Rattus norvegicus: one gene and its partner. The protein of the gene in region 1 purifies or fractionates together with the protein of each later gene. This does not show direct contact. Links are inferred from orthologs where the notes say so. Each region holds a gene or a part of one and is shown on either strand. Other genes may lie near its edges.

What was found.
Region 2: the proteins of Rpl13a (region 1) and Rpl7l1 purify together in Homo sapiens (affinity purification with mass spectrometry; 3 studies listed by BioGRID and IntAct, with this or other methods). This does not show direct contact. The link is inferred for Rattus norvegicus from reciprocal best matches to the Homo sapiens genes RPL13A and RPL7L1.

What each region holds. Positions count from the first base shown.
Region 1 is NC_086019.1:104,746,008-104,750,143, reverse strand, and holds Rpl13a (large ribosomal subunit protein uL13), read left to right. Parts: upstream 1-1,230; 5' UTR 1,231-1,244; coding exon 1,245-1,259; intron 1,260-2,272; coding exon 2,273-2,345; intron 2,346-2,376; exon of another isoform or gene 2,377-2,459; intron 2,460-2,588; coding exon 2,589-2,654; intron 2,655-2,751; coding exon 2,752-2,853; intron 2,854-2,897; exon of another isoform or gene 2,898-2,982; intron 2,983-3,056; coding exon 3,057-3,142; intron 3,143-3,182; exon of another isoform or gene 3,183-3,249; intron 3,250-3,313; coding exon 3,314-3,373; intron 3,374-3,416; exon of another isoform or gene 3,417-3,496; intron 3,497-3,584; exon of another isoform or gene 3,585-3,600; coding exon 3,601-3,723; intron 3,724-3,808; coding exon 3,809-3,895; 3' UTR 3,896-3,921; downstream 3,922-4,136. UniProt on the Homo sapiens protein: Associated with ribosomes but is not required for canonical ribosome function and has extra-ribosomal functions.
Region 2 is NC_086027.1:21,698,581-21,701,489, forward strand, and holds part of Rpl7l1 (60S ribosomal protein L7-like 1), read left to right. Parts: intron 1-44; coding exon 45-182; intron 183-1,319; coding exon 1,320-1,429; intron 1,430-1,565; coding exon 1,566-1,774; 3' UTR 1,775-1,785; intron 1,786-2,510; exon of another isoform or gene 2,511-2,641; intron 2,642-2,909.

The DNA of each region.
Region 1 (4,136 bases):
GGACAGTTGGGTGGAGGCTGGCCTCCTCTTGGACCTGCCTCAGCCAGCTCTCCCCAGGATGGAGACAACATCAGAACTCAACAAAAGTCCCACTCGCCCCATTCTGTACAAAGCCCTTGCCCCCATGAACTTGTATATAAAATTTTTTTTTTTGTACCAGCTCTTCCAGGCCTATCTGTGGATGGGACAGGGAATGGGTGGACCTTTTAGGTTTCAGAATCTTGGTTTTTTGGTGCTTGGTGATGCAATACGGGCTCTCCAGAAGTTAAGGCAGGATCTTAAGTTTAAGGTCAGCCTGGATTGCAGAAATCTTGTATCAAAAACCCGAACGGACAACAAAAGGTTCTATTTGTTTTCTGAGGCCTTCAGCAGCCCAGGGTCAGCACGGGGGAATGCTCCATAGGACTATGATGTGAAGCAGAAGCAGTCCAATTCCCCAAAATCATGGCACCAAAGTGTAACAAGTAAGCAAAACAGTGTTGGAACCTCCTGGAGGAACCGACTCAGGCTGGGATGTTTAGGGAGATTTTTCAGGACAAAATGAGTCTTTCATACTGAACAATCTACTGCCTTTTTGTTGTTTCCTTTGGTGGTGGGCGGTTATAGGTGCACAGCAGGGAGGGCAGCTCAGACAACATTCACAGCTGGGTACAGCAGCAAGTGAGTGCATCTGCGTCTCAGGAACCTGAAAGGCCTTCTCTCCTTCATACTCTTCCATCTAGGAAGACTACCCCGACTTGTCTGACAGAAGGAAACTCCTAGGCTCAGGAAAGGCCAGCAATTTTCAGCACACCAAGAGGTTGAGGGGAGGGACCGTTACACACGCAGCTCTGAAGGGCGGGCCAAGACATATTCTCGCCCCCTTATGGCCACCACATGTTCTGCAACCGTCATTCGTTGATGGGAGTAATGGCGCTCCACATCACGGACACCTGAACCGAGACGTGCAATCCCTCCAAAATATGGCGGCAGCGGCTGGATGGCCTTGTACGGCTAAAGACGCCTCGAGAACCACGTGACCTCTCGCCCCGCACAGTCATGGCCGCCAAGATCCAACTCATGCGATAGTCTGATTGGACAATATGAAAGTGGCCCGCCTCCGGTGTGCGCGCACTCACCGCTTCGATCAATGAGAAAACAGAAACCCTTCAGTTCGAGCCATCTGCGTCACTTCCTCCGCCCCTGCAGCAAGGGATAAGAAACCCTGCGCCAAGACCTCTTCCTTTCCTAGGCGGCTGCCGAAGATGGCGGAGGGGCAGGTTCGGACTCTGCGCGCCGGGCGGTGTGGGGTTGGGGTGGGTTCCAGGAGGGAGCCGAATGGGAGCCCACTGCTCCACTCTGCTTGTGCGATGGGACTTAAGCAAACGTTTTGACGCGAGGGGGTTGTGTAACGTGGGCATAACCAGCCGCGGCAGTCTTTAGGTATGGGACGATGAAAGCCTAGCGTTTTTCCTGGGGAAGACGGGAGTGGGACTCGGGTTCCCAACACCGGAAAGAACTTTTATAGGTTTCATCTCCGGCATTGGGGTGTGGGGACCTTGGAATTGCTCATGCCTGGTATTGTACTTTTGTTAGTGGGAGGCTCCTGTTTTGCATGACTTAGGGTTTTTGTAACATCTAATATTTGGGCTTGTAGCCCTTTTGAGGGTGTTAAATGTTCAGAATTAAGGGGTGAAATGATGAAGCAGACTTGTAAAACAGACTGAGGGAGAAACCTCATGACTTTGAGGGTTGACAGGAGTTGAACTGCACCTTTCCTGCTGTTTTTAGATGTCTTGAGGGTACGTTGTTGCTAAGGAAGTAGATGACGCTGTTTGGGACAGTTTTTCACTTTAAAAATGTAAACGGTAGTGTGCAATGGTTTTCTCTTGTAGTTTGGGTTGTACTGTTCTGCACTGCTCAGAATTGCAGACAGGACAGCCATTGTAGTCTAGCTAACTACAGGTTCGTTTTGTGCTGCTTAGAGCAACAGGTCTGCTCTTAGTGAGAAAGCTGGGGATTTGGTGGGACTAAACAATGGGCTAAAGTCTGAAACCAAGTCTAGACCCTTTGTAGGTCATAGTGTGCCCATGGATCCCAGCTATCCTGAAATTTGAGGCCTGGTAGGGTAACATGAAGTTCCATTTTAAAAAGTCATGTTGTGTGCACATAATAATGTACCTTTGGGACACGTGGTTCATCTGGGTTATAGGCATCCTTGTGGGGAGAGGCACTGTGAAGGGGTTGGTAACTTGGAGTAGGGAAAGCCTACTAAGCCTTCCTCTTTCCACAGGTTCTAGTATTGGATGGCCGGGGCCATCTTCTGGGCCGCCTGGCGGCCATTGTGGCCAAGCAGGTACTGCTGGGTAAGTTTCATTCAACATCCACATTTGCCTGAGAGTCTGTGATGAGCAATAATCACCATCTTTCGTTTGAGTCTCACGACTGTGAGATCAACCCATGCACCGCTCTGAGACTTACTGCCCCTGCTTACTTGGGGTTCATGGCTTAGAAATGATTTTGGAACAGATCTGCATTCCACGAGTGCTCTGTGGCTTTGTTGGGTGTTCAGTGACTTTCCTGACTGTCTCCAACCCCATGCTTTCTAGGCCGAAAGGTGGTGGTTGTACGCTGTGAGGGCATCAACATTTCTGGAAATTTCTACAGAAACAAGTGTGAGTTAGGGCTGGGGTGGTGGGCTTGGGTGGGGCTAAGCAGGTCCTTAGTTGCTTTTTGGACCCAAAAGGCCTCATATACTTTTCCTTCTGACAGTAAAGTATCTGGCCTTTCTCCGAAAGCGGATGAACACCAACCCGTCTCGAGGCCCCTACCACTTCCGAGCCCCAAGCCGCATTTTTTGGCGCACTGTGCGAGGTAAGCTGGTCCCATGGGTGACATGGAGAGCAGGGGAGCATCTGGCAGCTTGTGATGAGGATGTCTCCCACTCATGTTCGAGTTGCCTGACTATGAGACGACTCTACATGCACTACCATCTGAGGCTGGCCTAATGCCCTGCTCCTGAGGTCAGGTGGGTTTCTCAGCACCTCTGATGAGGCCTGCTGCTGTTACACCCACAGGCATGCTGCCGCACAAGACCAAAAGAGGCCAGGCTGCCCTGGAACGCCTCAAGGTGTTGGATGGGATCCCTCCACCCTATGACAAGGTGAGCCTTGCAGGCCTAGCCTCACAGCCTCTCTGCATCTAGCGTCTGTGATGTTCTGTTACCTACATTGTTTGAGCCTCATGAAAACTGCACTGGCTGAGACGCCTGACCCATCAGCCTTCTTACCAAGTGCACCCAACACGTCTCTGAGCCCTTATTTTTTTCTAACAGAAAAAGCGGATGGTGGTCCCTGCTGCCCTCAAGGTTGTGCGGCTGAAGCCTACCAGAAAGGTAAGCTCTAGGCTACAGAATAAACTTGTGGGACCTCAAGACTGGCAGATGATGGTATATTCTCACGATGGTCTTCGGATGCCACAGTGCCGATAATGCCAAAGGCTGAGCTGATGCCAGGAGAGCGTCCATGTTGGGATGAGTCCTTGAAGTAGGGTCCTTAGGCCCTCCAGCTCACTCTGCTGCTGGGGCACATTCCATGTCCTTACAGCCTTGTGCCCCTGCAGTTTGCTTACCTGGGGCGTCTGGCTCATGAGGTCGGGTGGAAGTACCAGGCAGTGACAGCTACTCTGGAGGAGAAACGGAAGGAAAAGGCAAAGATCCATTACCGGAAGAAGAAGCAGCTCTTGGTGAGGATAGAACCTGCACTCCAGGGTTAGGGTGGCCCTGGGACAAAAGCAACAAATCTCTGACACTTGTCTTTTCAAACCACAGAGGCTAAGGAAACAGGCAGAAAAGAATGTGGAGAAGAAAATCTGCAAGTTCACAGAGGTCCTCAAGACCAATGGACTCTTGGTGTGAACCCAATAAAGACTGTTTGTGCCTCATGCCTGCCTGGCCTGCCCTTCCTCCACCGCCGACCAGGGATGTGGGGACCAAAGGGTCCTTAGTCACTGCTCCTGTAGGTAGAGGGTGCATTTAGACAGCTGAGTGAGAGCTCATCACCTGCTTGAGTTTTACATTATTAAAGTGATAACCATGGAATGACCTGATCTTCAGTGTTCAAAATGAGTAGCAGGGCTGCCCCACCCACCTGCCCCAA
Region 2 (2,909 bases), on another chromosome or scaffold:
AGACCAGCGTAGACTGAGCTCAGACGCCTGCCTGTTGGTTTCAGGATTCAAGGAGTGAGTTTATTGGTAAAGAGCACCATCATGAAACTTGGCCTGAAGAAGTTGTTCAGTGGCGTCTTTGTCAAGGTCACCCCTCAGAGTATGAGAATGCTGCGCACAGTGGAGCCTTATGTGACCTGGGGGTAAGTACCGTTTTCCCACGTGAATCACCTCGTTCTTTGAGTGTGTAAGACACACAGGGTATTGTCTTCCAAGGTTCATGCTGTGTGTTGGCCATTTTGCTGTGGCCAGTCACCAGAAATAAAGAGCCTTAGAACCTGGGAAGGTCAGTGATGCTGATAATGCCCCAAGTGTTTGGGACTTACTCGGCTGTCGGTTAAGAGAAGGTAAAATGGGGGCTGGGGATTTAGCTCAGTGGTAGAGCGCTTACCTAGGAAGCGCAAGGCCCTGGGTTCGGTCCCCAGCTCTGAAAAAAAGAACCAAAAAAAAAGAGAGAGAGAGAGAGAGAAGGTAAAATGAATGACACAGAGATTAGTGCTTGAAGCCACCGTGATAGTGATCGTCGCCAAGTGTGGTGGCTCACACCTACATCCCAGCACTTGGAGTCTGTGGCAGGGAGGTTGCTGTGGATCCCAGGCCAGCCTGAGCCATTCTGCTGCAAGATGTTCTCAAAGAAAGAAAAACACATTTTAGAACTGAGCATGGTGTCTTGGGCCTCCCATCCCTGTACACCAAAGGACAGACATGAAGAAGTTTAGTATCGCTCATGGACATATGTCCTGTGAAGGTACAAGGTATGGTGCTGGGAAGCCGTGTCCACACTTAGCAGGCTTCATAGCTGTCCTCACTCAAATACAGCTGTGTACCTCTTGGTGTAAAACCTCTGAGGCAGGAGGATTGCTGCAAGTTTGAGGCCAGCATAAGACCTGATCTCAAAAAATGCCTAAGTTTCTAATTATATTCTTTTTTTTTTTTTTTTTTTTTTTTTTTTTTGAAGCTGGGGACCGAACCCAGGGCCTTGCGCTTCCTAGGCAAGCGCTCTACCACTGAGCTAAATCCCCAACCCCTCTAATTATATTCTTAAGCCTGTGCTGGGCTTTTCAGTTGGCTCACTTCAGACTCCTGTATAGATAGCTCACGACCCTCCGGCCTCTGTCTCAGGTGCTGGAATTGCAGGCTTGAGCCACTGTGCTTTTCATTCTTCCTCTCAGTTGTCACTCAGTAGTCCACGCCCTGCCTGTGGGAGGTCCGGGTCGAGAGGCTGACACCTCTTCTCAGCTTGTTCTTAATGGCCAGTGTCTCTGTTGTGCCTTGTGTAGATTTCCAAATCTGAAGTCTGTCCGAGAACTCATCTTGAAGCGTGGACAAGCAAAGATTAACAATAAGACTGTCCCTCTGACCGACAACACAGTGATTGAGGAGCACTTGGGTGAGTGCTGCAGCATGGGGGTTTGGTGGCTGCTGGGATTTGGACCCAGGGTCTGTTCCTCACATTACAGGCCCAGCTTTTTTCCTGTGTACCGGCTAGTAGTGAACAAGGGGATCGATACCCTCTTGTTTTTCAGGGCAGTTTGGTGTCATTTGCCTGGAAGACCTCATCCATGAAATTGCCTTCCCTGGGAAGCATTTCCAGCAGATCTCTTCATTCTTGTGCCCTTTCCACCTCTCTGTGGCCCGTCATGCTACCAAGAATAGAGTGGGCTTCCTCAAGGAGATGGGCTCGCCTGGCTACCGGGGTGACCGCATCAACCAGCTCATCCGGCAGCTCAACTAGAGCAGGAGCAGGTGAGACCGGCGTGTGCCACAGTACAGCCAGTGCTCCTGTTGCCAAAGACTTTGAGAGGGGCTACGGACGGGGTGTGTGGGAGCGGAGGAACAGACTGCTCACAGTCAGTGCTGGGTCGGAGCTGTGGCCTTGCTCTACTCTAGACACCTTTTTCTTTGTTCCGTCTTCTCCTAAGATCCCCAGGTGGCTCTGTTCTCTGCTTGAGACTGACTGGATAGCTCATCTCTTGCAGATGATAAGGACAACTCTATTTTACATATCAGTCCAGATGTTGACTCCAGGTTTCCAGAGTCAGCACCCATAACCCCAGCTCCTTAATTTTCAGGAGACAGCAAATGGCTTTTTTTTTTTACTTTGCAAAAGAGTTCAGAGGTCTGCCCACCTCTGTTAAGCACATACAATAAGCCAGCTGGTGGGATCCCATCACCATCTCAACCACTGCTGGGCCCAACCTTGCTCTGTCTCCAGCTGACCCTGGACTTAGGAACCTGTCAGCTTTTGTCATCGTAAACAGTGGCAACAACAAAACCTTAGCTGGGTGGGGTCTGTGACCATCACTCCCTACATTTGTCCCCTTCTTTACTGTCTTTCTCACAAGTTGGCTTACAGTAGAGCTGCTTTTGTACCCTTAGGTTTGATAGGCCCCTCCTGTAATTCATACTGCATCTTTACTTCTTGAGAAATTATGTTTTTTTTAAAGATTTGTTATTTTATGGGTATACTACTGCACATTCATTGACCTGCTTTCCTTTGACTGTGGGAGCAGTGTTAATTCTTATGTGCTATACTAATAGTTGAAGGTTCATTAGCAGAGTAACTGCATATAGTAATTCTGCCAGTCCCCTTCAGACAAAAAGAAAGAGTATACTATATCCATCCTTAGACACACCAGAAGAGGGCACCAGATCTCATTACAGATGGTTGTGAGCCACCGTGTGGTTGCTGAGGATTGAACTCAGGACCTCTAGAAGAGCAGTCAATGCTCTTAACAGCTGAGCCATCTCTCCAGCCTTAAATTAACATGTATTTGAACCATGTATTTAGAGTCCTTATCCACAACCTTCAGGCTGTCCTGAAGATCAGGACTTTTTTTTTTTTTTTTTTTTTTTTTGGTTCTTTTTTT